Linked DNA regions of Tamandua tetradactyla. The protein of the gene in region 1 interacts with the protein of each later gene in a biochemical or structural test. Links are inferred from orthologs where the notes say so. Each region holds a gene or a part of one and is shown on either strand. Other genes may lie near its edges. The genes, in order: NR2F1, BCL11B, BCL11A and AHR.

Region 1 (7,750 bases):
GGAGGCATTCTTCCTCGCTGAACCGCTGACAAAAAGAAAGAGAGAAAAGAGGCAATGTGCATCCAGGGAGCTTGCGAATATCGCCGCGCCGCAGCGCACCCGACACAATGCGGAGGCTCTGCCCGCAGCCACACGCACCCCGCGCACCTCCTCTCGCGCGCTGGGTCTCACTCACATCCTACATCGCGAGGAGTTCCGGGGAGAGGCCTGCCATCTCCGCGGCCCGAGGTGCCCAGCTATTGCTTGCACCCCTAGCTACCCCAACCGTGCCGGAACGAGGCCTGACTTCAGCGTCCCCGGCCCGGCAAGGCCAGCCCTGTTCCTAAGACAAGAAAGTGCCAACCCCTCCGCCACCAAAGAGGAACACACAGGAAAATGAAACCCCACTCACCCCTCCAGACTGAAGCAAATCAGGGTTAAAAAAAAAAAAAAATAGGCGAAACCTCAGAAAGGTGGTGATTCTAGGCAAATAGCTAGAGGCCTCCTTATTTGCAAGCAAGCAGCATTTTGCTCATAAAATGTTTCCATATTCTCTAAAAATGCTATAGAATTATCCTTAAAATAGGTACAAGTTACTAACCAATTACAACTTTTGAGTAGAGAACAAGTATCCATCACCCCTCCCCTCTCCCCTCCACCACATAGCCCCATACAAAGTTCTAGCTGTTAAAAGCAACACAAAACTAAATATTTTCAAGAAAATAAGTTGAACTTACAGTAGCCAAACATTATTGGAAAAAGTGGGAATAATAATTAATGTTTGTCCTGTGCGGTGCCACTGCAACCTGCAGCCAGCTTTTGCCCAGTGAATGCACGAGCTTGCAACTGCAAAAACACTGGATTCATTAACCATCTGAATGCAAAACGTAAGCATGCTTTGAGTTCTTAAAGCTGACCAAAGTTTTTTTTTTTTCCAAAGTGTATGTTTTACTTCAACAGTGCCAGCATTTTAAATTGCCATGTAAACAAAGGCAACTTTAGAAAAAGTTAGGGCTACTGAACTCTCCCCCCAACAAATTAATATAGATATACCCAAGTACATGCAGCTTTCTAAATTCAGGTAGTGTACTATTTTCTTAAGTTTGCCTTGCTTCTAATTTTAATGCAAGCCCAAGTGCAATTTAAGCTCTTGAAACATAACGGCTAGAATACTTTTTTCTAATTATAGTTTTGAACTTGGCAGTTATTTTTCAATTAAATGAGAGCACAATTCAAAGTTGTTGTTGTTGTTGTTGTTTTTTTCAGATGCCTACAAAATCTCCCTGGAGCTAGGAATGAAGTCGTCATATTTGCTTGCTCCTTGAGATCTAAAGGATTTCAATTTCTTTTCTTGTGGCATATAAAATGTAATTTTAAAGTCAATTATAAGAAGGAGTAATCTGCATTCTGCAAAATTGACTGGTTTGCTAATTTGACTATAAGACATCTTTAACGATTGTCGGGAGATAAACTTTAACTGTAAATGGCTAAATATATTTATAAGATAAGTGCTGAATCTCCTGCCACATGAACATGAAACATATCTAAACCCAACATCAAAGTTGTGTTTTAAAAAAAAGAAAGAAAGAAACATACAACACAGGGATTAAATGAAGTGGAAGCTCATACCAGCTGTAAGTCTATGCATTATGGCCAAATCAGAAGGATCGGTAAATGCGTTGTAAATTGTAATTTGTATGCAGTATTTAAGCAGAGGGTGGAGTTTGATGAAGAAATAAAACGAGTATCATGCTTCTTTAAAAATGACACAACTATGAAAGCACGGTTCAGTCACAAACTTTCCTTTCAAAGTAGAGGGGTGAAAAGAAGGCCACAGCTCCAGAGGAGGCAGCCCCCAGCTCCGGGGAGAGGACAGGGAACCAGTGAACGGGCCAGAAGCCCCCCTTCCCCCCTAATTAGACCTACAAGTGCAATAAATCTCACTCCTCTTTTCCAAGCTAAGCTTCCAAAAGGATGATGGCAGCAATGAATCTACGGTTCAAAATACTTCAGCTTGCCGCCCTCCCCCATTTTAAATAAAGGATATGAAGAGGTGGAGGGAAAAGTGGAATGAAAAAACACAGAAAGGGAGTTTTATGGGGGAAATAAGCACTCCCTCCCCAGGCTCATGCCAGTACAGCCCCAAGCATCCTCACGCACACACGGGAAAGAGACACACACCGAGCACATCCAAGACAGAGGGAGGGAGGGGGATTTTAAGCCACAGCTCACGATCCCAGGGATACAATCCGGAGCAGGCAGCGGGCGGGGTGGGGAGCCGGGGAGAGGAACGCAGGCCGGGAGGGGGAGGCAGCGGCAGCGAGCTGGGGAGGGGGGGCGGGAACGCCGGGGGAGAAAGGCAGCGGGGACAGGGGAAGCTGGGACCGGCCGGGACCGCTCGAGCCCCACACAGCAGCCACCCCCACGAAGGAGAAAGAAAGTGGGCCGAGAAAGCGGGCGAAGCGCGGGGAGAGAAGCAGAGAAGAAATATTCACCTTCCCGCCTCATGCCCACTTTGAGGCACTTCTTTAGGCGGCAGTATTGGCACTGGTTGCGGTGGTGCTGGTCGATGGGACAGTTCCTGTTGGCACGGCATGTGTAAGTTAAGTTCCTGCGGACGCTCCTCTTGAAGAAACTTTTGCAGCCCTCGCAGGTGAATTGGCCGTAGTGCTTGCCGCTTGACTTGTCCCCGCACACCACGCACTCGATGTGCTGCTGGCTCTGGCCCGAGCCGGGCGGGCCCTGGCCCTTGTCCCCTGCCGTGCCGGGGGTGGCGGGCGCTCCGGGCTGGCCCGGGGTCTGCGGCGTGTGCGGCGCGCCGGAGCCCGCCTGCTGCTGCTGCTCCCCGGCGCCGCCGCCGCCGCCGCGGGCCGCCTGCGCTGCGGGGTTGGGGCCGCCGGGGTTGCCCCCGGCCACGTCGTCCTGCGGATCTCGCCAGCTGCTAACTACCATTGCCATATCTTTGGGCCCGGGGAGCGCTGGGGGGAGCCGAGCTGCTCACCAAGGGCCGTGGGGAGCGCAAGAGCGCGGGGAGGGGAAGGGGAAGGGGAAGGGGGAGGGGGAGGGGGCGGGGGGCCCGCTGGGCGCCCCGGGGTCGCGGGAACCGAGCCTGAGCCGGGCACCGGCCGCTGCCGCCGCCGCCGCCGCCGCCGCCGCCGCTACTGCCTCGGCCGCCCCGCTGCTGCTGCGCGCCCGCCCGCCCTGCTGGCGTTTTGTTGTGGTTCCTGCTGTTTTCTTTCTCTCTTTTTGCAGCCCCCCCAGGCTCTCAAGCTCCCCCCCCAACACCCCTGCTCCCCTAGCCCGCTCCCCCCGCGCTCCGTTCCTGGGGGGGGCCGCACTCTCCTTCCCCCCTCCCCACCCCCCCCCCGCGAGCAGGCTCCCTTCTCTCGCTTTTTTCTTCTTCCCCAAGTTGCAAAATCAGAAATGGCACAGGCAGCAGCGGGGAGCGGCGCGGGGCGCTGCGCCGGGGGCGGCGGGCATGGGCCACGGCGCGCGCACACACTCGCCCTCCGCCTCGCCCGCACCCCCGCGCACACACACACTCGCACACACTCGCTCACCCGCGCCGGGCGCCCGCCCGCCCGCCGGCCGCCCGGGCTACGCGCAGCGCGCGGGCTGAGCCGACATAGAGGAAGCCGGCGAGGGCGGAGGCGGCGGCGGCGGAGGCGGCGGAGGCAGCAGCGGCGGCGGCGGCGGCGGCGGCGGAGGAGGTCGCGGCTGCAGGCGCCGCTGGAGCCGCCGCCTCAGCAGCTGCGGCGAGCGCCACTGGAGGAGCCCCGGCCGGGGCGGGGGTCCGAGCCGGAGACTGGGCTGCAGCCGGAGCGCGAGCCGGGGCCGGGGCCGACCGCGCCGCCGCCGCTGTCCCGGCGGGAGCCCTCTCCAGGCTCGGAAGTGCGGGAAGCGCGGGGAGCCACGCAGGGCGCGGGGTGAGGCTGCCGGGGGCGATCAGGGCGCGCGGGTGTCGGGGGGCCAGGTCCAGGGCCGGACGCAGCCAGCCATTCAGGAAGGCAGCGCTGGAAAGCGGGAGGCAGCCGGCGAGGAGAATCACACACTTTGCTCTTTTTGTTGTGCCGGTGGCGCCGGGCTCTCGTTGCCTTCTTCTTTCAGGAGGTGACGGAAGGGGGAGAAAAATACGAGATATTCACGCCGGCGACGAATTCACAGCGAAATTGAAAACATAAAAATCAGAGCAAAAAGAATTGGGGAAAAAAAAAAAAGCGAGTGAGACATCCAAAGTAGGTCGAATAAATAATCCTCTTCTTTTTCTCTTTCTTGCTCCTTCTTCTGCTTCTTCTGCTATAACACACAGAGCTAGTTAAAAAAACCCTGGAGAGCGCCCAAAAATGTTCTTTTTTTAGTATTTTAAATAAGTGCTCTTCAGCCGGGAACCAACACCCTCCCTCTAAAAAATATCATATATGTATAAAATAACGATAAGAAGAATACGAAGGGGTGCCTCCTCCTCCTCCTCCTTTTTTTTTTTTTTTTTTTTTTTTTTTTTAAGTTTAGCCCTCTCTCTTCTTCAGGAATGGAGTAAAAGAGACAGGGAGGAGGGGGAAAAGGAGAGAAAGAAGGAGAAGAAGAAGAAGGGCGAACAACTAATAGAATATGTAAGAAAGGAGAATGGGGAGAGGGGAGAGGGGGAGAGAAGAGAGGGCGAGAGAGAGAGTGAAAGCGAGAGAGGGAGAGAGAGAAAGAGAGAGAGGAAGAGAGAGAGGGAGAGAGATGAGGGAGAGAGAGAGAGAGGGAAACAGAGGGGGAGAGAGAGAAGAGAGAGAGACCCAAAAATTGAATGCGTTTAAACGGGAGGACTCGCAGAGCAATGTTTCCGAAAGGGGGATCTGCGCGAATGTCTGTATATAGTGAACTTTGACACTACTATTGAAACTGACACGTTTCTATGGAGATCGCTGCCTTATATGGAGCTCGTGTCAAGGAGCCAAGAGAAGGGCTGCTGGCAACTGATAATCAAAGGCGACTGACTGGTCAGAGCCCTGAATCGGGGGGGAGAGAAAACGGGAGGCTAAGGTTAGCCAAGCCTCCCGCACGCCATTGGTTGGAGAGCCCCTCCCCCTCGGCTTTTTCTTTCTTTCTTTTTTTTCTCTCCCCTCCCTCTTAGCTACCTACTGACTGGGATGGCGAGGGGAGGAGGAGAGAAAGTGAGCGAGGGGGTTGTGCTTCTGACAAGCGCAATTTACATTGAGATCGCCCTGCGCTGCTATTTACTCTGAGACCTGATTAGTATGGGTCGTTTGTGGTCACACACACACACATACACACACACACACACACACACTCACACCAGAGGGGGAAGGGATAGAGATGGGGAGAATGTTTTGTAGTGGGGCTGAAAAGAGCATTAGAAGGAAATTATTTTGATTTCTTCTTAAAAGTTTTTAAAATTAGATTTTATGAGCGTGAAGGCAGTGTCACTGAAAATGTTCGAAAAAAATTAATGGGAATGAAACCCGCATCATTTTAATGATTCGTGAAATATACTGGGTTTGGATTGTTTTCTTCAGTTATATAGGAATAAACCAAGTGTGGCTTCTGTTAATTTTATTTCCTTTATAGAAACAGGGTAGGGTTTCCCTATTTTTCTTCTACCCCCGTACATCTTGGTTTTAATGGTTTAATTATAATACATTATGATTTGGATAAAGCAAATTACTGGACTTTGCAGCTATTGCCACAAATTCGATCCGAATCAACTGTACTTATTGATTCCAAAGATGTTTTTAAAAATAAACTTTTCAATCTAGTTTTTCCTTTTTTTTTTTTTTTTAAAGTATCCCCAGGCTGTTCCCAACGCCCAACAACGCTTCAGTAATTATTAATAAAACGGAAGTAAATCCTGATTTTGTTGTTTGGAGGGGATTAGTGGAGACAAGTCAGAGTCCCGGGAAAGGAGAGGGCGACCGAGCGAGAAGAGGAGAGGTGGGGGAGGGGTGGGACCAGAGAGAGACAGAGAGGGAGGGAGAGAGAGAGAGAGAGACGGAGAGAGGAGAGAGAGAGAGAGAGGAGAGAGAGAGAGAGAGAGAGAGAGGGGAGAGAGAGAGAGAGAAAGAGAGAGAGGAGAGAGAGAGGAGAGAGGAGAGAGAAGAGAGAAGAGAGAGAGAGAGAGAGAGAGAGAGAGAGAGAGAGAGAGAGAGAGAGAGAGAGAGAGAGAGAGAGAGAGAGAGAGGGAGGAGAGAGAGAGGAGAGAGGAGGGAGAGAGAGAGAGAGAGCGAGAGAGCGAGAGCGAGCGCCCTGATCCCGAAGGTGATTGGTCACAGGAGGAGGGGCCGCGGGAGGAGCGGTCCCACTGCGGGGCTTGCAGGAATCGCTGGTTCCGGCTGCCACCTAGCGGACGGGAGCCGCGCCCGGACCACGCACAGCCGAGTCCCTCCTCCACTCCCCGCAGGCAGCCTGCGACTATTCTCCAAACGAAGACAACACTTTGAAAATTCTTTCAATGGATTTTTTTTTCCTTGAAAGATTGTACAGGGGGAAAAGATGATACTTCTATTAGTTACATATTCTCCAATCGCACACTTGCACCCCCCACGTTTTGAGATCGCTCCCCTAGGCAGGCTTGGGCGGGCGCGGAGCGGCGCGGAGTGACAAAGCGGCGGCTGCAGCCTTCGGGGTGGGATCCCAGCTCGCCCGCCAGCCTTTCGACTGGGGAGAGCATGAAAGTTTGATTCAGCTCCAGCATCCTGAGCTCCAACACGCCCTCAGGTAAAGGTGGAAGTATACAGTCACGTTATATAGACAGAAAAAGGGTTTGTTTTTAAAATACTGGTTCTCACTTTAAATCTCACCAAGGCGGAGTTGGGAAGCGCTGCTGTTTGGGGTGTTTTTTTCGCGCTTTCCTGTCTCTCCAGCCTGCAAGTCGGGAATCGGCGACCGCCTAGTGACGAGCAGAAGAGATATTTTAAAGAGCAGAATAAAGGCTTTCTTGTGCCTGCCCCCCCCCCCAAGTCCCTCCAGCTCGGATAATGGAAAGACTGTGAATGCACCCTGTGAGAGGCAGCCCATTGTACGCAGCTGATGGAGAGGAGGCAACTGGAGGCGAGAGACTTCTCGCCCTTGCCCCTCTCCCTAAATAAACTTGCTCACCTCTCCTAGTCAGTTAAAAGACGAAATAAATGCGATTAAAGCAGGCCAAAAAAAAAGAGAGCAAAATTTCTATATAGAAATCCTAAATTTTAACTCCCGAGACCGTTCAGAGGCAGGGAGTGGAAGACAGAGGAAGACAAGCAAAGAGAGAGAGAGAGAGGGAGGGAGGGAGGGAGGGAGACAGGGAGAGGAAAGAGCGCGGAGAGAGACGGAGCGTGTGGGAGAGGAGGCAAGAGCAGGAGGAAAGAACAAGCGCCAGGCAACTGGAGGCCAGCTGGACGCTGGGTCCGCGGGCCCAATCGCCCTCGGACCTTGGACCTTGCGTCGTGGGCACCAGAAGCGAAAGTCGGCCAAGTCCTGCTCCAACCAGGCGAGTAACGCAATAATTATCGTTTCTCTAGAACTCGGGGTTGGTAACGTGGGCAGGAGGGGAGGCGGCCTTGGTCCTCACAGCCTCCCCTGGCCGGGATCCTAGCCAGGGCCGGACAAGGAGAACTTTCCGTGGGGTCAAGCGGGGAGCTGCCCTCGCCCGGCCCCCTTCCCTGCGGCGCGAAGGCTGGCATTGAGGCCGCCGCACCGCCTCGGAGGTGAGGATCGCGCCAGTGAAATATCAGCCCAGATTCAAAACAGGATACCCTCTCCCCGCCCCATCCTCTCTCCCCTGCCTCCT
Region 2 (7,272 bases), on another chromosome or scaffold:
CCGCCAGCCTAGCAATGCACCCCCAACAACACCCCCTTCTCCCACCACCACCCCCACCACTTCCCCCTCCTCAAAAAACGACCCTTGCATTTATACAGCGGCTAATGTGGGGGGCAAATTGCCTCCTGGAGAAATTAGGCTTCTGCAAGTATAGACGTTTTAACAACCACCCCACCATCTAAAAAGGGGGGGTGGGGGTGGCAGAAGAAGCAACGGCTGCCACTTGGTAAAGGAACGAAATGTCAGCTGGCGAAAAGGACCTTGATCAAACCAGGCTCAAATCGGGTTGCAAAACATTTTGTTTTAAAGACAGCCAGCCGAGTCTTCTTTGCTGTTACAATGGCGAAAAATAAAAGAGAAGCCTTCCTTCCCTCCCTCCAAAAAGGCATTCCTTTCCCAAACCGAGCCCCGGTTTATCTATCCCCCCCCCCCGAAAAAAAATAAATCCACAAATTCTTACTAATGTATCTGCTGTAACAAAGGAGAGAAGGCAACAGCAAATGTTCCAAGCAGATGGCTCCAACACTGGGTTTTCAGGGGAGGGGAGAACCCCTTTATATATTTATTTATTTATTTAAATTTTTTAAAATATAACATAAATATTCGGCTCTCGGCCGCCCCGCAGCCAGTCCTCGGCAGCCGCGGGGCGCGCAGCCTTCTCCAGCTCTGCGCGGGCAGCCCGGCCCCAGCCGGGAGAGGTGCGCGGAGGACCGCAGGCACCCCACCTGCCCGCGGTCTCGATGGCACCCACAGGATGTTTTATTTCTAATTGCAATAAAATAATTTTTATAAAAAAACAACAAAAAACAAAAACGGCCACGGCGATCCAAGGCACAGTGAGAGAAAGAACAGCGGGAAGTGTTCGCTCGCGGCGAAGAAGCGGCCCCGCGGGCTGGGAGTGCTGCGAGCCTCCCTTCTCCGGGCAGCTGTGCGGGGGCCCCGGGCGGGCACCTCTGCAAATCTTGTACCTAGCCCGCTTGCGCTCGTTTGTTTCCTTTTCTAAATAAGCCGAACTGGGGCATTGGAAGCTGCCGTGTCTCTGCCCCGCTGCCCGACTTTGCCCGCCCCGCCACTTGCTTGAAATCCACATGATTTCAACCGGTGGATTTCCACGGCGACCTGCCTTGTTTATTTAGATGGGGAATATGAAAGATACTGAGCTGGAAAGATGGATAAGAGATTGATAGGTCTCTCGGTCTCTCTCTCTCTCTTTCTCTCACTCTCTCTCTCTCTCTCTTTTTACTATTTTACAAGCGCATCTCTCTCTTCCCACTCCTAGCTGACAACCTCCCCCCACCCCGCCCGTGGCGGGGATTTTTCACCAGCCCCAATCTCACCACCTTTTTTGGAATGGGGGAAAGAAGACAAGATCATCCCAGGAGACAGACGGAGGTGGGGAAATGGGGGGGGGGGGGTGCTTGAGCCCGGCAAACAGCCGCGCAGCTGGATTCTTTTGCAAACAGAGAGAGGAGGGGTGGAGAAAAGCCGCGGCGGAATCCGAGGACCCGCGTGGCCAGCGCCCTGCCTGGCCCGGCACAGCAACCTGGGACCTGGAGCCGGCGGCCGCCCCTCGCCTCGCTTCTCCCCCAGGCCGCAGCGCACCCGGCTCTGCTCCGCCCGCGCCGTCAGCACGGACCCACGCGCTCGCCAACTTTTCCCCACTTCCCGGCTCCCCCCTCCCCCTCCGCTCCCCAACCCCCTCCCCCTCCTCTCCAAACCCCGCCACCAGCGCCGCCGCCGCCACACACGCCGCTCGGAGGGGCGAGCGTCCAGCTGGGCTCAGCGCGCACACACACACACCTCCTCCAGCCTGCGCGCCCCCTCCCCGGCCCGGAGCCCTCTCCGAGGGCCCCCGAGCCCGAGGCGCGCCCGGCTGAGCAGCGCCCCGACTCCCTGGGCTGTAAAGAAACTTTCCTATGGCTCCCCGGTCCCCCACCATGCTCCCGGCCGCCGCTGCCGCCTCTGCGGGCCCGCAGGCGGCCCTAGCGCCCGGCTTGGCGCGGCCCGACTGCGCCCGGCTCGGTGTCCCCAGCCCCGGGCGCCCGGAGACCGATCCTTCGGCCCCTCGCGCGCACGCCGCAGACACTTACGGGTGATGAGCTCCCTCTGGGACAAGTGCTGCGGGTTGCCCTGTTTGCGGCGGGACATTGCCCCGGCATCTATTCTGGCATCGCCCGGAGAGCTGCACTGCTGGGGGGAGCCGGGGGAGGGGGTTCCAGCCGCCGCCGCTGCCGCCGCGCCGCTGCCGCCGCCGCGCCTCCTCCTCTGCCCGGCTTGGTGTTGTGTGTGTGTGTGTGTGTGTGTGTGTTTCCCCTTCCTCTCTTGCCCTCTCTTCCTCCTCTTCTTCTTTATTTTGCTCTTTCTTCTATACCGCTTTTTGTTTTATTTGCAAAAAGAGAAGAAAAAAAAAACAAGGAAAACCTCTTGATTTAAAATAGAAGAGGCAAAAAAAAAAAAAATCAAACTGCTGTTGCTTGCTGCCGACTGGCTGGTTTCTCTAAAAATATATTCTTTTGAAGGAAAAAAATCGCTTACACTTCTTCAAACTGCTGGCCTCTTGGACTTCCAAATGTCTTCTTGAACTTAAACTGGATTTCGCACCGGCTCCTGACACTTTCTTTCGGGGGCTGGTAGAAGGAAAGCGCACTTCTACCAGGAGGGGGGAAGAGAGGGGGAAAAAAATGCAAAGAAATAAAAAATAAACGAAGGAAAAAAAAGCGAAGAAAACTTGGGGACTTGACTCGTACCCCCTCACCCCCCGCCCCCTCAAAAAACCCAAAGCAATGTAAAACTGCTCGGATTCGGTTGTTTCTGGGTTTTCTGAGGGCTGCCTCTTTTTTTTTTTTTTTTTTTTTTCTTTTTCTTTTTTTTTTCTCGGAGACTGACCCTTCTGAGGCTCTGGGGGGACTCCAGGAGCGGCTCCTTCCCAGTTCACCTGGCAGGCTGGCGCCGGCCGGAGGGGCTGCCGGGTCCCCGCGAGCGCTCCCCAGCGCTCCCCTGGCGCCGCGGCCCGGGGGGAGCGGGGCTGAGGGGCGGCTCGCCCAGCGCGCCTGGGTCGGTGCGGGCGCGGACTGGGAGCTATAGATTGCAACGTGAAGATGGCGGAGTCCGGCTTCTCTGGGAGCTCTCGGTCTCTCTATGGCTGGGGCTGCCTCTGTACAATGGGATAAAATTCAAGTTCAAGTGCGGACGTGACGTTTAATCTGCACTAGAGACAAAAAGACCCAGAGAGTCGGAGCACTGGGGGCGACTAGCGGTGGCTTTTTAACATTGTACCCTGCAAGAGAACAAGAAAGCACACACACACAGAGAGAGACACACTCTCTCGCGCGCGCGCACACACAGTCGCCCGTGAGCACACCCGCGGCCCAGGCCGACCACACGTGCAAAGAGCGTTTTGTGCGCTCCTCTTTTCCTGGAGCACGGGCGGCACAAGGCCCAAGGAGGGGGGGAAGGGGGAGAAGGTGGGCAAGATATTTTTAAATAAAAGAAAATCCTTCTCTTTATCCCTCCTCCCCTCCTGGGGGCAGGACCCCCTGAAGGGGGGTGGGGGGGCGGCAGGGTGCTGTGTGCATGGAATAAGTTGAATCAATACACGTTCCCACCCACCCAAAAGCTCATTTGGACTTGGGGGAGGCGGGTGCTGCGGAAAAGGTTGGAAAAGCCAATTGCTTCACCTCCCTGGAAAAGTGGCTAGTTTGCTTTATTTATTTATTTGTTTTTATTGGGGAGCCGGCGTTAAACTTCCAGAAAGTGTCTACACTTAAAACCTGATATTATACACTCTCAGAGAGAAAGGTGAACAAAATAAAAGACTCTAAAAGGAAAGAGTTAAGAGCAAATGGAGGGGGGTTGGGGTCGGAGGCGCCTGAGACCTGGTCTGAGTCCCATTCCAGAAGGAATCTCCACCGGAATCTTTGCCCTCCCTCCACTCCATCCCATCAACTTCTCGGAGAATCAAACTCGGCCCCGCCGCCTAAGGCCGGGGTCTGTGGGGAACGCAGGAATGAGAGGACAGGGATGCTCCACGTGGGGAAGGAACTTGGACGTCCTGACCCCAGAAGTCGCGTGGCCGATCTCTGCAGATCCTCGGGTGGGCGACCCCTCGGATCGGCTCTCTCTCATCCCCTGACAATTAGAGCACTCCTCAAAGGAACCCTCCACCCTCACCCCAGTGCCCCTCGGCGCAGGGCAGGACTTGAAATCGCCCGGCAGACTGGGAAGGACACAGCTGCCTTGTCAGCCGTTTGATCTCCAGCCGGCGAGGACAAGAGGAGTTGTGGGGGCCTGTCCGGGTACAAGGCCTGGCCGCGGTCTCCGCAAACCGCCCCCACCCCCAACCCCGCCCTCTCCGGGCCGCGGCCAAATCCGCCTTATTTGATGACGAGACCTCCTGGGCAGGGCGCGCCACGCGGCTGGACGCCTCTCCCTTCTCTGGGTTTCTCCTGTCTCGGCCCGGGAGGTGGCCGAGGCGGGTCGGGGCCTGGCTCGAGGTGAGCCCAGCTACACCCACCCCGCCCCCAGGCCCGGCCCCCGAGGCTTCACCCCAGCGAACCGCTGAGTGGTGGCGCCTCCCAGCGCGCCGCCTCCCGCGGGACTCATTCCTCGAGGGGCGCAAGGAGTTTTTGTTCGCTTCGAAGACCCTGGGTGGGGCGATAGCACCAACAGCTCGCAGCGCTCACGATCGAAGACTGAAAGGACTCCCTACCCATACCACTCTCACCAAAATCACAACAATAATGTGTGCCCTAGCGTGCATGCAGTTCGGTGGATGGGAGGCTGCGGGGTCGACGCACACAGACCGAATGGGTGGAGACGCGGGGAGGAATCCACACGTCCCCTACCGCCGGCTGCTAGCCGCTGCCCACGACCCACCACATCCACGTGGTCCAAAGTCCAGAAGCGCCTTCCTTTTCTCCTAACCCGTCCCACCGCCAAAATCTTTCCATGAAAGTGGCCTAAGTGAGATAAAAAATGCCCACACGCACCTTCAATAAAGTTCTTTAATAAAGTTCTTTACAAACCGACCACTCCGACTCGCCCAGACTCCTAAATTTGGGAGATCACCTAGCAGCTCTTTGTGGGAAGCGGCGGGGTAAAGCCCAGAGAGGGTGAGCTCCCGGCCGGAGGTCACACAGCGCGTCGGAGACGGGTCTGAGCTCGTATCCCCGAGGGGTGCCTGCGGCCCCACGCCGCCTCCTGTCCGGGCCCCGAAATCCCTTCCCGCTCCCTTGCCCTCCCGGAGTTAATTACAGAAAAGCGGGAGACCCGGTGTGTAGCTCGGGGGAGTGGGGCACAGCCTCAACAAAGAGGGCCCCTCGGGGGGCGGCGCAGGGACGCTAAGAGGCCCCAGCTGCAGCTGCCCTGCTCGCGCGCGAGCTGGGGAGGGGGCGCCTCCGCCCCACCCCCAGCAGGAAGTGGCGGGCAGGGGGCGGCGCGGGCCCTGACTGACCCGGGGAGCACTTCCTCATTGGCCCGGCTCTGCCCCTCGACGACGGGAAGATGGTCGCGCTGGGGGACGCGCGGGCGCAGGGCCCTCACGCCGGCGCGCTCCACCTCGCGGCAACCGGGAGAGGCTGCCCTGCCCCGGCCCAGCCCAGCGCTGGCCCCGGCGCCCTCCGCCTAGTCTCCGGAGAGGCGGCCGAGCGCAGGCAGCGAGCGATCCCAGCTGCCGCTCCAGTCTCCTCCTTTTCCCTCTGCCTGTCTGGCACGGGCATCATTAGCGCTGAGAGCTGTTAATGTCTGGTCTCACAGCTCCCCCTTTAGTCTTGCCGAACACCCTGTCTCGCTTTCCAAGCCGGATCAATAGCCGCCTCTCGGCCGACCTTGACCTCTCCCTTGACCCCGCCCGCAGGGGCAGCTGGCCTACGCGAAGGTTTCCCCTCTCTCTGGATGCCCAGCCAAAGGGGGGAGACGGGGCGCCGGAAGGGGGCGGCGGAACTCAGCCCACAGCCGCGCCCCTCCCCTTGCTCAGGACCCAGGCAGCAACTTCTGAGAAGGGTACTACACTCCCCCCAACCCCACCTCTGCATCTTCCAAATCTTTGTTTAGAATAGCAGGCACCGCTGCCCCAAAAAAGGGGGCTCAGATGGTTCATAGATGAGAATGTTAAGAGGAAAAAGTGCAGGTCCAAGCATGCTTCTAAACTGATATCACAACAGTTGAGGATTATTTCACAAGCCTTTGCTGCAGGCCCACTGTGTGCTGGGAGCTGGGCTTTGTGCACACTGGAATTCGAAGGAAAGAAATGCCACATTTTCTGCACTGTCTTAAAAAAAGAAAAGCAGATGTCCAAAGCTTTTTGAGCTCACAAATATTTCCCTGCTCTTTTTTTCTAGCTCTCCAGTGCATTCCAGCAGGTAATCCCTCATATTCTTCATCCCTCTAAAGGTCTTTATAGAGGAATAGTTCAGAAATCAAAAATTATTTCATCAAATCGGAGTCCATTTTTGTTAATTGTGTGTGGAACTCTAATTCCCTCTGTGTAACATGCCGTAGGGTGGGGGCAGATCATACGCACGTGAGCCACAAGCAAGAGTCTTTGTTTAAAATTCTTTGAGCAATTCTCAACACTTAACTCCTAGCTAAGGGTAGACTCTATTCCAGATTGTACAACGTTATCTTTGCCTCCTGAGCGGTTATATTTTATATTTTGTCTTTACAAAAATTTGGAATCAAGTAATGTCAGTAGAAATGAGAACTCCCAATGTTTCTGCAGAAAGAAAAATTGACATTTCATTCCTTGTTGTTGTTTTTTCTCCAAATAGGGATCCATCCTCTAAAATGTAGTCAGATAACTTTGTGGCAATATGAAAACTCAACGACACATTTTACCAAATCCCTTTGGACTTCGTTTTTGATGTTTAAAAAAAAAAAAAAAGGAAAATATCCATGCGGAGAAGGCAAATCTTCTCACATTTGCAAGTGTGGGGCAAACTCAGAAGCAGAACATGTCTGCTAATTTCTGTTCCTCAGGATCACTATTGACGGTGAAGATGAGGATAAATACAATGCATCCATCTGATCAGCAGGTTGGCTTATTTTAGCTTGCTGGGAAGCCACAACAGAGGCACTAACCAAATCATATGTACATATTAATAAGGCTCCCAAAGTGGCCTTTTCCTCCTTCCTAGAATCTTTAGGTACTATCAAATCCAGAAGCATAAAAAGACAAAAGAGGCCTTTTGGGTTTCCTGGCACACCTTCTAGAATTATTTTATTCATTTCTGAAAATCACAGCAAATTTCTGAGTGTCACAAACACTTAAGGAAG
Region 3 (7,939 bases), on another chromosome or scaffold:
GAGAGTAACGCAGAGCAGAGGGGGTGGGGGAGGAGGCTGGTACAGGTTCAAGTTCGCCGAGCTTTCTCGATCTTGTTCTGCCTCCTAGCGACCGAACGGTTCACTCGGTCCAAGAAGCGGAGGATTGGGGCGAGGAGGTGGGGGGCGATGCTGAGGGCCGGGATAGCCCCCGCCCCCCTCGACGCGCCCAGAAAATAAGGAAGGAAAGGAGCGACCCCAGCACCCACCCAACTGGCCTCTTAACTCAGGGCCAGCACCCTCATGGGGGGGGGTGGGGGGCGAAGGAGGCCAAGTCTCCAAACTGGAGTGGCCGGAGAAGGACCCGAGAAGTGTGAGGGAAGAACAGCCAGAACTGCACACCCCAGAGTGTCCTTTGAGCCCCCAAAGCATCCTTCAGAAGAAGGGCCCGGTTTTCCCGAGTCCTGCGCACACTGCCCTTCCTTCCCGCCGGTACCTGGCCGGGCTGTAACTTCACACCGCCGCGCTCCGCGTCTGCTCCGCATCCGGCGCGGCCCGGGGAGTGGGGGGCGGGGGAGAGCGGCGAGAGAGGGATGCGCGGGGGTGGGGAGAGGGAGGGCCCCGCAACGTGCCGGGGCGAGGGCGGGGGGAGCGGGGGAGCTTCCGAAGTGTGTGACAAGTTCCAGGGCCCAGTGAAAAATGCTGTTCCCTGTGCGCACTCCCCACCCCTTTAAAAAATAGAGAACTGGGTATAGGTGGTCCTTTAAAAATTGCATCAAAAATTAAAATGTCGTGAAGTGGGGGGTTGGATGAGGAATGCAAGTCCTCTCACACCTGCCTTTCCCTTGCTGCCAAACTTTCCTAAGTGCCCACCGCCCGCCTTTCCAGGCGCACTCAGTTAACCGGGAGCCCCCACCCCCACCCTCCTTCCCCTTGGTATATAGATTCAAAAGGATCCCAGGCCGAACCTGGCCGAGGAAGAGGGCAAGAACCAAGGATGAAGAGCGCGGGGGTCTCTGAATGCAGCGCCCCCAAAGCACATACTCGAACACACTTCTCTGCTTACCCACTCCCCATCTTCGGCATACACACACGCGCACACACACACACACACACACCTGGCCTGGCTGCGCTCGGGCGCAGGTTGCTGGTGGCCAGACCGGGAGGGAGATGGAGCAAGGGAAGCACGTGGTGACCTCTCTTCTGTCCCCTGTTACCCAGAGCACTACTGGACAAGAAACGTCTGAGAGTACCATAGGGGGGAAGAAGAAGGAGAGCGGGTGATGCAGACCCGCGCAGAAATGTGCTTTTTCAACTGCTTTGCAAAATGCTTTGCAAAGCCGAGTTTCTCCCCAGCCGGTTTGGCGGCGGGGAGGCTAAGAGGAGTTCTGGGCATTGTGCTGGGGGCGGGCGGGGACCGCGGACCCGGCTGGCGCGGAGCCGCGGCGTGGCCTGCAGCCTTGCGCCGCCTTGCCCCGCGGGCGGCCGGGCGGGAGCCGGGTGGGTGATCCCTGGTTGGGTGGGGGCGCGGTGAGGCCCGGCGAGTCCCTGGCCAGGCCCGGCCGCGCCGCCGCCCGCTCCCGGGCGGCCCCGCCGCGCTCGGTCCTCTTTCTGTTTGTTGGCAGGAGGCTCCCGCACACGCGGTGCTTGTAAACATTCAGACACGAGATTTTTCCCAATCAAAATCCACTTCCACTTTTTTTGAAAATCTTCCAAAAAATAGTAAGAGGAGGGAGTTCCTCGCTCCCTCTCCGTGCCGCCGGCGCTCTAAGTTTGCAACTGAAGGGGTTTTGGGGAAGGGGATGATTGCGATTTTTTTTTTCCTGGTTAGAGAATGTGAGATTTTTGCAGGGGGTGGGGGGTGGGGGAGTCAAAGAGGAGACCGTTGTAGAAAGGGCTGTCGTAACGTTTGGCTTCTGGTTTCGGGCACGAATTTTTCTATTTCTCTTGCCTTATTTTATGGTATTTCATTTTATTTTATTACACGTCTTCCCCTCGCCTTGGAGGCTCGGTAGCGAGCGGCGGGCAGCGACGACCGGGGCGGCGACGGCCCCAGCGCCCTCCCTTCTTCTCGCGCGCGTCCCCAGCCGCCTCCTCCCCCGGCCCCTGCCCCTGCCCTTCGGCGGCAGTGGCGGCGCGGGAGGGCAAGCGCGAGGAGCCGGCACAAAAGGCAGCGGGACAAACACCCACCTCGGGCCGGAACAAAAGGCGGCAGCGCCGGCCGCGTCTCCCTTCCTTCCCGGTCCCCCGGCTCTCCCCACCGCGCGGCCCCTCTTCAGACCTGGCGTACTCCAGAGCGTCCGGGCCCCCCTCTTACAGTCTCACTTTCCCACTATTGTGGGGATGATTACTTTCCTCCCGGTGCACACTTGACCGTGAGTGCGCTGGCGTCCGAGGGCCAGTGTTACCTCTTTTTTTCTCCCCGGGAATTGGTATTTTAGGCTTGGACTCCCCCTCCCCCCCATTTTCCTACGTTGAGTGAAAGCAACCCCCCCTTCCCCTGCAACTCCCTCCCCCAGGTTTGCAAGTGAGTTGTTCGCATCCTTTAGCATTGTTCATTATGTTGCAAAACTGGGGAACAAAATCATTGCATTCCTTTTCTAAAAGAGAAATAAAGCAGTGGAAAGAAGGTAAGAGGAGGAGTCAAATTTTTTTTTTAATTAAGTAAAATTAAAAGGCAAATGCTATCCCCAAAGTGCACACGGCTATGGTGCGAGATGGGATGAGGGTTTTCCCCCCTTTGAGTCTCTTTGAACAGGACTCTCGGAGATTTTTCTCGTGAAAAATAAAAAATGCATGCACACACCCCTCGATCCCCCTCGCTCTTGCTTCTCGTCTTGCGCGCTCTCGTGATTATTAATAATTATTATTACTATTATTGGGTTACTTACGCGAGAATTCCCGTTTGCTTAAGTGCTGGGGTTTGCCTTGCTTGCGGCGAGACATGGTGGGCTGCGGGGCGGGCGGCGGCGGCGGCGGGCGGACGACGGCTCGGTTCACATCGGGAGAGCCGGGTTAGAAAGAAGGAGACTCCAGAGAAAATATCTTCATCAGTGCCTTTTGACATCCAAAATAAATTAGAAATAATACAAAGATGGCGCAGGGAAGATGAATTGTGGGAGAGCCGTCATGGCTTTTTTTTTTTTAAGCAAAAAAAAGAGAGAGAGAGAGAGAGAGAGAAGAGATAGAGGGAGAGAGAGAGAGAGAGAGATGAAAAAAAATGGCAAAAGCCCCCCTGAGCTGCAAGTTCAAGTGCGGACGTGACGTCCCTGCGAACTTGAACGTCAGGAGTCTGGATGGACAGAGACACACAAAACATGGGCAGGGCGAGCAGGAGAGAAGGGGAGGAGGGAAGGGGAAGCTCACACCAATGGACACACATCAGGGGCTGGACATGAAAAAGAGACCAGGACAAGCCAATGGCCAGTGCGGGGCGGGGGAGGTGCGGGCGGGGGGCTCCGCAGACGCCAGACGCGGCCCCCGGGGGAGGGGCGGGAGGAGGGGAGGGGGCGCTGGGGCCGCGGGCTCACCAGTGGCCGCAGCAAGCACCGCGGCAGCGGCGTGGCCAGGAAAGAAGAAAGGGGCGGCGGGGGTGGAGGGAGCAAGACGCGCGCCCTGCTGCCCCACCCCCCCACCCCCCACCACATAAGGACCCTAAAATGAAAGATTAAAGGAAAAAAAAGAGAGAGTGTACCGGGAGCCTGAAACCCAGGGCCGGGGAAGCGCGGGCGGAGGGAAGCCAGGTAGAACTGCTCCCGGACACCCCGCTCGGTACGCACACCCACTTCCCCTCCCCGCGGCCACCGCCGCCGCCGCACTCGCTCCCGCCAGCGGACGCCCGGGGCAGAAGTGAAAGCCCGGAGCCCGCGGCTGCGCTCGGGAAACTTTGCCTGAGGAGAGGAAAGCAAAGAAAAATCACCCGAAGTTGAAAGCTGAGCCTCCAAGTTACAGCTCCGCCGCGGGAGAGGGGAGGCGGGAGGGAGCGCGCGATAGAGCGGAGTCCAGCCCAAGTTTGGATGGTTGTGGGCCCGGAAGAGCAGCTCGAGGGCCTCCCCGGGCCCAGGCGGCGTGGAGGAAGGGGGCAGGGACGAGGAAGGTGGCAGGCGGCGCAAGCCCCGGCCGGAGGGTCGGGAGGGCGCCCCCAAGACCGAGACGAGGGCTGGGGACCCGAGCGCTCGGCCAAGGGCCTGGCAAGGACTGAATGCAGCTGGAATCGCGGAATCCAGGCTCCCCAGGGCCGCGGAATGAGAGAGAGGCCGAGGAATAAAGAACCGGGAGCCAGAGGAAAGGGTGCGTTCTGGCCCCGAAAGGGGAGCGCCGAGGGCCAGGGCCAGGGCGAGGGAGGAGCGGAGGCGTCCACCTTTGCGAGCGGCCGCGGGCGGGAGGACAAAGCACGGGCAGTCCCGGGAGTCCCAGTCTCTGGGAACGTGCTCCTCGCGCCGGGGGAGGCCCGGGTGCAGGCTCCAGCGGAGGGCCACACCCCCTCCCGCCACAGAGCAACCGCAAAAGCACAGAGAGAGGGAAAGAAGATGTTTCCTCGGGGGGCAGGACACAACTGTTCCCATGCTGTTACCAGAAGAAAGAGAAAATGGGGAATGGAGAGAGAGCGACTGGCTCGCAGGAGCAGCCAGGAAGCCACGGTGGCTGGGTGAACGCCTCGGAGCGACCGGCAGCCCCGGGTCAGCGCCGCCTCGCCCTGGCGCCCTGGCGCCCTGAGCCAAGGCGGACACCCGGGAGCCTCGAGCCCTCTCTCGCCTTTCTGCAGACGTTCCCTGGAAATTAGGGAAGACCTGTTGGAAATAAGCTCCTGTCTCTTTAATGCACACACGCACACACACACGTTGCCACTGTCAAAAAGTGGGCTTCACTCCGGCGTGGGATACTTTCAGTTTTACGTAAAATGTACAGCAACAGCACCCCCTGCGATTGGAAAGTTTATTCAGAAACGTGCCTGCAAAGTCCCTCGGCGTCTCCCGCCTCCCAGCCTCCCTCCCTTGTCTGCGCCACCCTGCAGCCGCCGCCGCTGCCGCCGCCACCGAGACAGCGCTCCGATTCCAAATCGGGAAGGGCCGTGGTGGGGGTGGAGGGGTGGGGGGAGGAAAATGAACTCAAGTCCCAGGGCGGCGCGGAGGGTGCAGGTGGAGACTGCGCGCCGCTGCCCGCGAGACCCCGAGCTGCAGGTGGACGTTTGTGAGTGTGTGTCTGCAGAGCGAGAAGCCTTCCTTCCCTCTCCTTCCAGCCGCTCCATGACCCCTCGTGTCTTTTCATCTCCTCCTCAGTCTAAGGGGTGCCTTTTCTGTAAATTCACCCACTCGGCGGAGAGGCGTTATGGTTTTAAACCAGGAACCCGGGCTTGCACGCGCGCATCCACCTCCCAGCCTCGCCGGCAAGCGCCTGTTTATGCATGTGTCGTCTTAGTAAAGTTTCAAGCCTATTTACAAAATGCCTGGCTCGCCCAGCTGGGCGAAGCTCCGGGCCCCTCAAAGGAAGAGAAGGTGGTTTTGATGCCAGCGTTATGAGAGGTGTGGGCTGGTCTAGGTCTGTGTAAATGTGATTTGTTGTTGTTGTTTCGCTTCAGTTTTAGGGGAAAAAACTCTAATCCTGTTTAAGAAGCAGGAAGATTCACTTGCAATAAAGCTCTGTGGCGTGTGTGCGTGACACCATTTCCTCTTTTTTTCATGAGTTCTTCAGAGCAGGTCAGCATCTCTCTTCCACTACGGTCTGTTTTTTGTCTTGTTAAACCAGCCTTGGAGCTACCAAATGAATGTCACTGCTGGGGGAGGGGGAGGAGGCGGGGCGGCGAGGCGGACAGTTGGAGGGAAGGTGAGGAGCGGGACGAAGAAAGTGCAATTGGGAGGCCTTCAAAAAGAAAGAAATAAAATAAAAGTCTCTGCAGGTAGCGATAATGAGCCAGGTTCTTTCGGAACCGAGCATTTCAGATTTGAATATTCCCATTCCTCCATGAAAGTCCATATACAGAGAAAGTATATAAGTGGGGAATGTGTGCTGTGGAAATACATACGTATGATTTATATATAATGATGTGTATAAAGCTTTTCAGGGTTGGCTGTAGTGTAAAAAGTAATGACTTTATTACCTCTGAAAGGTTCTGTGGTTCACATTTAACAGTCTTCTGAATTACAATTCATTACACAATTGTGGGCTCTCTAAAACCGGCACCCCATCAGGGCCGCTATCTGTGGTTATTTCCAATAAATAACTGGCAACATTTTATTGATTTTCTTTAAAAAAAAAAAAACATGGGAAATTAAGCACTTAGTTACAAGTAGGTCTACTGTGTTATTGCACTTGTGTCAGATTCCAGGGGGTCCTTCCGAAACCACATCTTAAAACATACATTAAAAAGCCAGTTTTGCAGCTGCTTTCCCTGGGTGCCAGTGCAGAGGTAAGCAGCGACTTTCCCACTATTAACATATATTTAATTTCACCATCATTAAATGCCCACGACGAAATGGAAACTCTGCCCTCTGCTCCCGCACCTCCCCCCCCCCCAAGTTAGATTTCGCCCGGTCTCGAAAACCAGGGCTGTGCGTCGGCATCCGACCCCTCCTCGCCCCCCACCCTCTTGCACCCTGTTCCTCTCCCTTCCCGGTGACGCCCCCTCCCTCAGTGCTGCTCGATGCGCCCTAAAGTGCCCAAAAGTGGTGAAAGGGGAGGGTTTGTGCGTGTTTAAAGAAATGAAAGTGTGTTGTTTTAGGAGGTTTAAAAAATATTACATAAGTATTGATTAATGATGCAGGTGGTTTTGTGGAGGGGGTGAAAGGTCACTTTAAAAGCGCACACTTGGGCACACAGTAACTATATTTACCTTTCCAGAAGTGGCTTTTAGAAAGTCATAAATTATGACAACGTTAAAATGATTTTCTGGCCGTTCAATTAACTTCGTTTGGGGCTGTAGACCCTTTGCCGATTCCATTGAGGGGGTGATTACGCTCCGTGGCTCTTTCCCAAACCTTCGGCGACGACACTGAGTGTAAACCCCAGGCCAGCAGATGACCCCTCCCCCTCCTCCTCCCCCTTTTTATCTCGCCCGCGGAGGAGACTCCCCAGGACTTCCTGCAGTATATATTCCTCCTCTGATCTCCGTACTTAATAGCCAAGTCCTGGTTTATGCTTTATAATGTGTTGACAAGTTTTCTAACAGACTTTCTGAAATAATGCACATATATTCACGTCGGTTAGAAACCCCACCGTATTTTCAGAGTCGAGTAGATCTATACCCTAATGCAGTGAGAGAGTGTAAATCATAGAGAATTTCATAGTCCTTTCAGTAGTTTTCGGTATGAAGTATGAGCCGCGTGGCCTCCAGACGTAACCTTTTAGAAAAAAAGACAGTGCTTTTATTTTATGGTGTAAAGTGCTTTTAGCTCCAGGGCTCTGAACGTGAACGTGGTCAACAAACAGCTCGGAGAGCGAGGAGAATACAGTCCCAGCCCTCGTGCGCAGGAACGCCTGGCGCGGGCAACTCGGGCTGAGCTGGAGACTGAAGGGTTAAAAGGTCTGTCTCGTTGGAAACTACAAGATTAAAATAAAATATTCACTGTCTGCCTTTAGGGGGAACACCCTTCTGGACTTAAAGATAAACAAATGAATGACAATGAATGGTTAAGAATACGATTGGTAACACTTTGCTTTTTATGTCATCTTTTTTTTTCTTTTTCTTTTTCTTTTTCTCTTCCCCTCCCCTCCCCCCCATCATGGGCAGATCAGGAAAATAGAGAATGTACGGTCATCTTTATAGAAATAAAACTTAGCTTTGAATTCTACACTTGGTATAGATTTTGCATTTGGGGTTCTTGAGTGTGGAAGTGCTAAAGGTGCTACGAAGACAAAGGGAAATGAAATGAAAAGGGAAGGGAGCGGGGTGAGGAAGGGGTCGCCTTATGTGGACACCCTAAATTAAAAGGTGAGCTGAAAGAGGACAGCTCCCTTCTCTCCCAGTCCCTTCCATGCCTCACCC
Region 4 (7,115 bases), on another chromosome or scaffold:
AGTTAATATCACAGTAGAAAAGCTGGTTCTATTTATATTCAATAGTGGACTTCATGAAACAAAATAAACAATAAATAAATAACACCTTTATCTCCAAACTCAATAAAACAAGCAAGGTTATTAGTATTGGAATAATGTTCTACGGAAAGCTACAGGACAATCTATTACTGAGGTTCTCTTTGAAAATTTCTTTGTGAAGGCAGGAACATGAATCAGATGCTTTCTTCAACTTTGCTTCTGACCCTTCAATTCCCTAATTACCACTACTCCAAAGAGAAAAGAAACATTTATTGAATATCTACAACGTAAAAGATACTTTAATAGGATTAAATTAAACACACTTAAAATGTATTTCCTACTAATAAAGGTAATTGTCCATGTTAGACCTGCCACTAGGGGGAGTTTATTTTGTTTAATAAATTGAATTGAAGGCTGGAAGAGCTTCAGGATAAAATTATGTCTCTTACTCTATCCCCAAATTTTATGGAACTGTAAATTTAAATAACTGTTTTTCAACAGTCTTATAATTGTGCTAAACAACATATTTTCTATGCAAGAAAAGTAAAATGGTTATCACTTAAGGAGTCAAAGCTAAGAAGATCTGGAGAGTATTGTCAGCCGAACAAGATGGATTTTTTCTGTGGGAATGCTGACACGTTTTACACCCCATTAGCCACAAACTAATAATTTAACTAAAAAAATTACATTAAACTTAGGATTAGGTTTAATGGCCTCACTCCTAAATCAAAGTTCCCTTTGATTAACTCCATTATAAAGTTAACTTTTTCATCTAGGTAGAAGTTTGCAAACCATTTCACTTGAGCATGTAAATGCTAGCACTAGGCTTTCCTTAATAAATGATATTTTAAGGCATTCATATGATTAGAAGTAATGCATGATGTTCAGTAAAGATCTGACAGCCATCTATACTAACTAAATGAGGGTGAATGAGGAAAAATGCTTTAGTTATACTGAATTACAAGAAATTACTAAATAAGGTATAGTAAAGTCTTAGGAAGTATGTTAAATATTAGGAGATTATAATAAAGCGTCCATATTATACAAGTAAAAGGAAAAATTAATACAAAAGGAAAACTAATAAAATATTAACTATAAATTAATAACGTTGCCTTCCATAATGAATATAAAATTAAGGCATTTAATAACAATAATAATAAGCCAGGTGTGTCATTCTGTAACACACTGACTGAAATTCATATCTTAAAAATCCATCAGGGAGTCTGTCAGATTTTCTGATCACACACATAAAACTCATGATACTCTATTATATGATAAGCTAAGGATGGTATTATATTAGCAGCCTCATGGACAGGCATTTTGGATATTTCCAAACTTAATCATCAAGAACAAAGTTAAATTGGACAAATAATTTTACATAAGAAGCTATTTCACAAAATGCGCTGTTCTGTAACCCAGACAGTAACTGCTGACTCAGCAATATACCTAATGTCAGACACAGAGGATAAATAAGACTTTTGGATTTTAATCAGTCTATTTATAGACGGTCCAATATCCTTTGTTAATGCCAATTTCTTTGTCTAGATTTGAGGCACTAAGATCACAGAAAATCTAAGAGGAAATTAAAACTTTAGAATGATGAAATCTTCAACCAATAATTAGTTTCAAATGCAAATCTTAAACTGTTATTTCTCTATTGGCATTACCAACTAAAGTTTTAAACAAAATACATATTTTTGATGTACTGAACAGACGTTTAATGGGCTTTTAAAATAGTTTATAAAAAATTTTAAAATATAGATGAATTAAAGTAACTCAGATTATAATTAGGAATCGACACTGGAAACTGATAAAAGGAAATCTGTCGCAATTTTTTTTTAAACACTATTTTAAAGTACTTGCCATCTCATACAAATATGCCGCTTCCCATGACTCCCATCCAAGTCTGGAATCACTCTACTAGAATTGAAAAAGCTTGGAGGTAGGGAAGAAAGGGAACTAGAGGAAGGTACTAAGAATGAAAACGACTCTCTTAAATACAGCTCCATATATTTCACTTTACAGACTGCAAATGCACCTCACAAGTGATGGCAAAGCTTCCCAAAAACGTGACTACGAATTCAATTCCCCATTGCACCACTCACACCTGACACCAAACCTTACTACTCTCTTTACCTATCTATAGGCACGCTGGACGCTACAAAATGACAATCAAATAAATAAAACTGCTCAACAGAAACCCAGACGCTCTAGCCCCCTAAAATCAGCTTCAAAACGGCACGTTTTAAGCTCTTTAAAACTCCTCGCCCTACCCAGATGTCTGTCTTTTCCAAGATTGGGAATTATGACAGTCGTCTTCTCTAACCGATGCGGACATTAAAATAAGAAGAGGATTTCGAGCAGATTTATGCTAGCTAATCCACCAGCAGCACAGGGAAGGCCAGAGCTGTCCACAAATTGGGACCGCAGAAGGGAGAATAGAGCTGTGAAGGGGTGGGGTGTGGGTGGGCTCGGCACTGGTGTCAGAAGGGACAATTTCTTAACTTAATTAAAAATTTAAAAAGTCCGAGTCTCTCGACCGACCTTCAAATCTGGATTCTATCGGCTGTGTTGGAAATACCACCTAACGCCCGAAACGCGGGGGTGTGGGGGCGGGCCCCTCCCAGAGGTGCCAGCCGGACCCCACGCGCCTTCCAGCCCCCTCCACCCCCACTCCCCCGAGGATGCCGCCCCGAACACTCACGTTTTCTGCACCGGTTTTCGCCGCTTGCGACTGGCATAGGTGATGTTGGCGCTGTTGCCGTTCATGGTGCCCGGCCAGCGGCGGCCCTCCGACGTCCTTGCGCCCCGCGTTGCTCCGGGCGAGCCGGCCGCCCGCGCTGGATTCCGAGAAGACGCGCCGGCTCCACCTGCGTCCTCCCGCGCGGAAGCTGGGGCCTCGGCTCCCGCAGCCCCGGCGCTTCCAGGTGTGCGGCGGCTCCAGCAGCCCAGACCCTTCCAGGTGCGCCTCGGCTCCCGCAGCCCGGGCCCTTCTAGGTGCGCCGCGACTCCAGCAGCCCGGACCCTTCCAAGTGCGCCTCGGCTCCCGCAGCCCGGGAGCTTCCAGGTGAGCCGCGGCTCCCGCAGCCCAGGCCCTTCCAGGCGAGCCGCGGCTCCCACAGCCCCGGCCTTTCCAGGTGCCCCGCGGCTCCCGCAGCCCTGGCGCTTCCAGGTGCGCCGCGGCAGCGCGGGGCGCCCGGGCCTGGCGCGCGGGGCGAGGGGCGCAGGTGCCGCCTATACCGGCGTGGGCGGGGCGGCCGCAGGTGAGACAGCCCGGGCGCAGGAGGAGCCCGGGCCAGCTGCTTGGGTGCCTGGCCTGGGTCGTGCGCGGTGCCGCCGCGCCCCGTGACCGGCTCCGCGCCCCCGCGGGTGAGAACAGGCGCCGCCGCGCTGCTCCGGGGCTTCCCCGCCCGCGGAATCCGGCGCCAGCCGCCAGTCCCGGTGGTCACCAGCTTCCGCTCGGCCGCTCGGCTGCCCCTACCTTCAGCTCGCGGGTCTGGGCTCGCCGTCGGTACCAAGCGTCCAGCGCACTCTGCCCGCGCCGCTTCCAGTGGCGCGCGCTGGCAGGAGAGCAGAAGGCCTGAGACCCCTCACGGCCGCCGCCCCTCCCATCGCGGTCCCGCCCTGCCAGCCTCGACTCCTCCCTGTCAGGCTCTTTCCCTGGAGGGTCCCCACCCTCCTGAGCGTAATGACGTCAGACGCAATGACGCCCTTCAGTTGCCATTTTGGTGAGGTCAAGAAGAGGTTTCCTCTGTGGACCTATTTCCAGGTGGGGAAAGGGTGTGACAACAAGTTACGTGTAGCCAAGCTTTCTGTAGCTACACGATATCAAATAGTGAGTTTAACTTCACCTGTTTGAGAAAGAGTAACTTTTGACTGAGAATTACAGTGAATTGAAAGATAACCAGTAGGACTGCTTAAATTGTTCTACTTGGGAAGACTTTAGAAGGTCACTTCTGAGTTTAGACTTGAAGGCTAGGAATTTTTGCAGCAGGTTTTTTTTTTTTTTTTTTTTTTTTTTGTCGTCTTCGTTGTTTTTTTTTTTTTTTAACAATTTGTCTCCACACTTCTCAGTATAATATCAGGATAACTTATTCCAAGGTCAGGTTTCAGTAAGGTTAGTGGAAGAAAGGAAATGGGGAAGCACTTAGGGCAGGAAGTGTTGGGAATAAGTAGCAGTCTGTTCTAATTGGGACAGAGGGAGAGAGGAGCTGGGCATGCTGTTCAGAGATTTGGGGATTAATTCATAAAGCTTTGATGAAGAGTTTAAAATTTATTTTGTAGGCAATGGAATCTTTTAAAATATATTTAGCAAGGGATTGCATTCTGGTGTTTTAGAAAACTGCTCTGGGATGAAGATGAAAGCTGGATTATAAAGATTAGAATCAAAGAGAGTAGTTGGGTAGTTGTTGAAATAGTTGAAGTAAAAGTCCAGGCAAGTAGCAGGTGGGATGGAGAGAAGAGAAAAAACACAGATGAAGATAGAAAGGATAAAGAAATAGGGGGTAAGAGCGCACTCGAGGCTGGCATCCACAATTTCTGTAGGTGCTGCTAGCCAAGATAGTGGGCACAGAGAAGGGTATGCAGATTAGGATGCCTAAATGGCATCTCACATATCTATTCCTATAGTTCAAATGCCTTCAAGCCATTTCGACAAGTAAATTTGTAACCTCAAACTGAGTGCATCAAAAAATTGAAAGCATTTCTTTTAGCTAAAAGTATGGTTTGTAGCCATCCCCTAAGATTTTTGAAGTTTCCATAGGCAGTTTTTGGATAGTAATATGATTTTTTCTTATAATGAGTAATTTGCTTAAAAGACTTCATGAATATTTGACTGCCTTATCCAAAGCAACGCCATCCTTCTAATTAGTTTTGTGATTATTTTCTGAGGTTTCAGATACAGATTATGTTTGGGTTCCATTTTCCTGTTAGACTGAGAAAAAGAAGTAAATTTCAGGAATACTTTTATAGATAACAGTTGTTTTAGAATAAAGGGGGTAAAAAAGAATGTGAAACCTGTTTTATCACAGTACTTTGATTTCATTCAGCAAGGTGTCCAGTGCCAGATGCTGTGGGATACAATGGAAATATCAGAGATAACCCTCTCAGTGTTATATTCTAATCGGAGAAACTAGAATTGATCAAATAATACACAAATAAATGCGTAATTGCAATAATAATAAGTGTTGTACGAGCACGATAAGAATGTGTAATTGGGAGATATGACTTAGGGGAAGCTGCCTAGAAGAGGATTGAGCTGAGATCCGAAGCATAATGAGACATCTTGTGGGAGTAGTGGGCAGGGGAAGAGATTCATGCAATCAGGACGCTAAGTAGAATTTTCACTTCCTCTTCATTCCTGCAGCTCTTTATTCCAGGCCTTCAGAATTATCTTTTTTACTTATATTCTGTGGTGTATAACGTACTTTAGAGAGCATAACCCCATGCTTCCCAAACCGTACCCAGTGCCCTGGGAGTACCATCTTGGAATATTTTAAATTTTCAAGGGAAACTCAGTGATACTGAGCAACAATTGGATACCATGTAAACCCCTGGCAAGAGGTGGTTCACAGCTCCAACGTTAAATGGTTCCTCATTCCTCTCGATGAAATCATATCTAGATGGGCTGTTGTAACTAGCTGTGATAAAATGCAAGGACTGGAAAAATCAATGTGGGACAGAAAATGAAGATGTTGATTTCCAACCTGACTGCAGGGTTTTGGAAGATATGTAGTACCCATCAGACACACACATCCCGTTAAGACTAAAATAAAATATTGTTTTTTTAAAAGGGTACATATATTTCTTCAAATAGCCACTAAGTTATTAGGAGAAACATATGTAATCTTGAACTTAACTTGCACTTAAGTGCAATTGTTGAGTCTGATTTCTTTTAGTCTGTGACAACATGGAAGAATTACTGAGACACCAAACTGAGAAAGCTATAGAAATTTAGGCATAGCTAAACCTTTCATTTAACAGATGAGAAATGTCAGGCCCAGATGGGTGTAGTGGCCTGTGGATCACACCCAGAATAGAATCCAGTTCTTGTAAACTCCTGTTTCAATCTAAAATATATATCTTATCTCAGCTGGAACTATCTTATTTCTTTAAAATAATTTCATTTATTCATCACTTTTTTTTCTACTCTAGCACTGAAGAACAGACTAGGGGCTGTTTCTAAAGGCTATTTTTAAATGCATAATGCCTTCCTGAGTTACTTGACTAGTCTACAAAAATGTCCTACTCAAAAGAACCAAACAAGTAATTAACAGGTGTGAAGAACTTTGGAAATACCTTTTAGACTAATGTCAATGCTAAAACTGACAAGGAAACCTCAATAAAAAATAGGGATATTTTGTTACTAGTCAAAGTAAAATTTATCAAGGATAACACTTTGTCATAAGAAACATCAAGACTAACACATAAAAGAACACTCTATTAAAGTTAATACAATTTAGGCTTACTTAGATTTTGATTTTTGCTTTCTGGACTTTCTGTTCTTATAAATGTGAAATTTCATTAAGGGAAAGATTATGAAAAAAATGAAGCTAAAAGTCCTATCTCATTTATTAAACATTTTATTAAATAATTTATGTCTCTCATATATATATATGTCTTTTTTTATTTAAAGCCATGTAGCAATTGGGATAAATACAATTAGGATCTACATAACACTATATACATAAATTTTTTCACTTTAAATCATAAGCAGAATAAACTGTAATGAAGATTAAATGCATTTAGATTAAGGAAAAACTATTGAGAAAAAGAGAAAATTACGACTTTATAAGAAAAGCCTAAAGAAATGTAAATTTTTGTGAAACTCTGACCTAAAGTATGTAATTTAGATTTGCTAAACTTTAAAAGACTACATGATTTTATGCATATTTAAAAAGCAAAATCAATGTATTCTTTCTTGAAAATATTGAAGTTGAATTTAATCAATCTGTAGACAGTGGTTCTCAACTTTTCTTACACATTATAATCACCTAAAGAATGTTAAAACATGGACATCTGGCTCTCTGGTCTAGAATTGTTATTTAATTGATCCGGATTGTGGCCTGATCATTAGGATTTTTAGAGACAATATTGGT

Evidence for each region.
Region 2: the proteins of NR2F1 (region 1) and BCL11B form a complex in vitro, tested with the Homo sapiens proteins (2 studies listed by BioGRID). The link is inferred for Tamandua tetradactyla from reciprocal best matches to the Homo sapiens genes NR2F1 and BCL11B.
Region 3: the proteins of NR2F1 (region 1) and BCL11A form a complex in vitro, tested with the Homo sapiens proteins (2 studies listed by BioGRID). The link is inferred for Tamandua tetradactyla from reciprocal best matches to the Homo sapiens genes NR2F1 and BCL11A.
Region 4: the proteins of NR2F1 (region 1) and AHR form a complex in vitro, tested with the Homo sapiens proteins (2 studies listed by BioGRID). The link is inferred for Tamandua tetradactyla from reciprocal best matches to the Homo sapiens genes NR2F1 and AHR.

Annotation. Positions count from the first base shown.
Region 1 is NC_135347.1:37,656,731-37,664,480, forward strand, and holds the start of NR2F1 (COUP transcription factor 1), read right to left. Parts: upstream 3,012-7,750; 5' UTR 2,938-3,011; coding exon 2,475-2,937; intron 1,320-2,474; exon of another isoform or gene 1,305-1,319; coding exon of another isoform or gene 1,246-1,304; intron 26-1,245; coding exon 1-25. UniProt on the Homo sapiens protein: Coup (chicken ovalbumin upstream promoter) transcription factor binds to the ovalbumin promoter and, in conjunction with another protein (S300-II) stimulates initiation of transcription. Binds to both direct repeats and palindromes of the 5'-AGGTCA-3' motif.
Region 2 is NC_135338.1:60,547,503-60,554,774, forward strand, and holds the start of BCL11B (B-cell lymphoma/leukemia 11B), read right to left. Parts: upstream 3,004-7,272; 5' UTR 2,149-3,003; coding exon 2,091-2,148; intron 1-2,090. UniProt on the Homo sapiens protein: Key regulator of both differentiation and survival of T-lymphocytes during thymocyte development in mammals.
Region 3 is NC_135343.1:32,912,245-32,920,183, forward strand, and holds the start of BCL11A (BCL11 transcription factor A), read right to left. Parts: upstream 3,010-7,939; 5' UTR 2,905-3,009; coding exon 2,850-2,904; intron 504-2,849; coding exon of another isoform or gene 455-503; intron 1-454. UniProt on the Homo sapiens protein: Transcription factor. Associated with the BAF SWI/SNF chromatin remodeling complex. Binds to the 5'-TGACCA-3' sequence motif in regulatory regions of target genes, including a distal promoter of the HBG1 hemoglobin subunit gamma-1 gene.
Region 4 is NC_135327.1:106,847,409-106,854,523, forward strand, and holds the start of AHR (aryl hydrocarbon receptor), read right to left. Parts: upstream 3,003-7,115; 5' UTR 2,788-3,002; coding exon 2,723-2,787; intron 1-2,722. UniProt on the Homo sapiens protein: Ligand-activated transcription factor that enables cells to adapt to changing conditions by sensing compounds from the environment, diet, microbiome and cellular metabolism, and which plays important roles in development, immunity and cancer.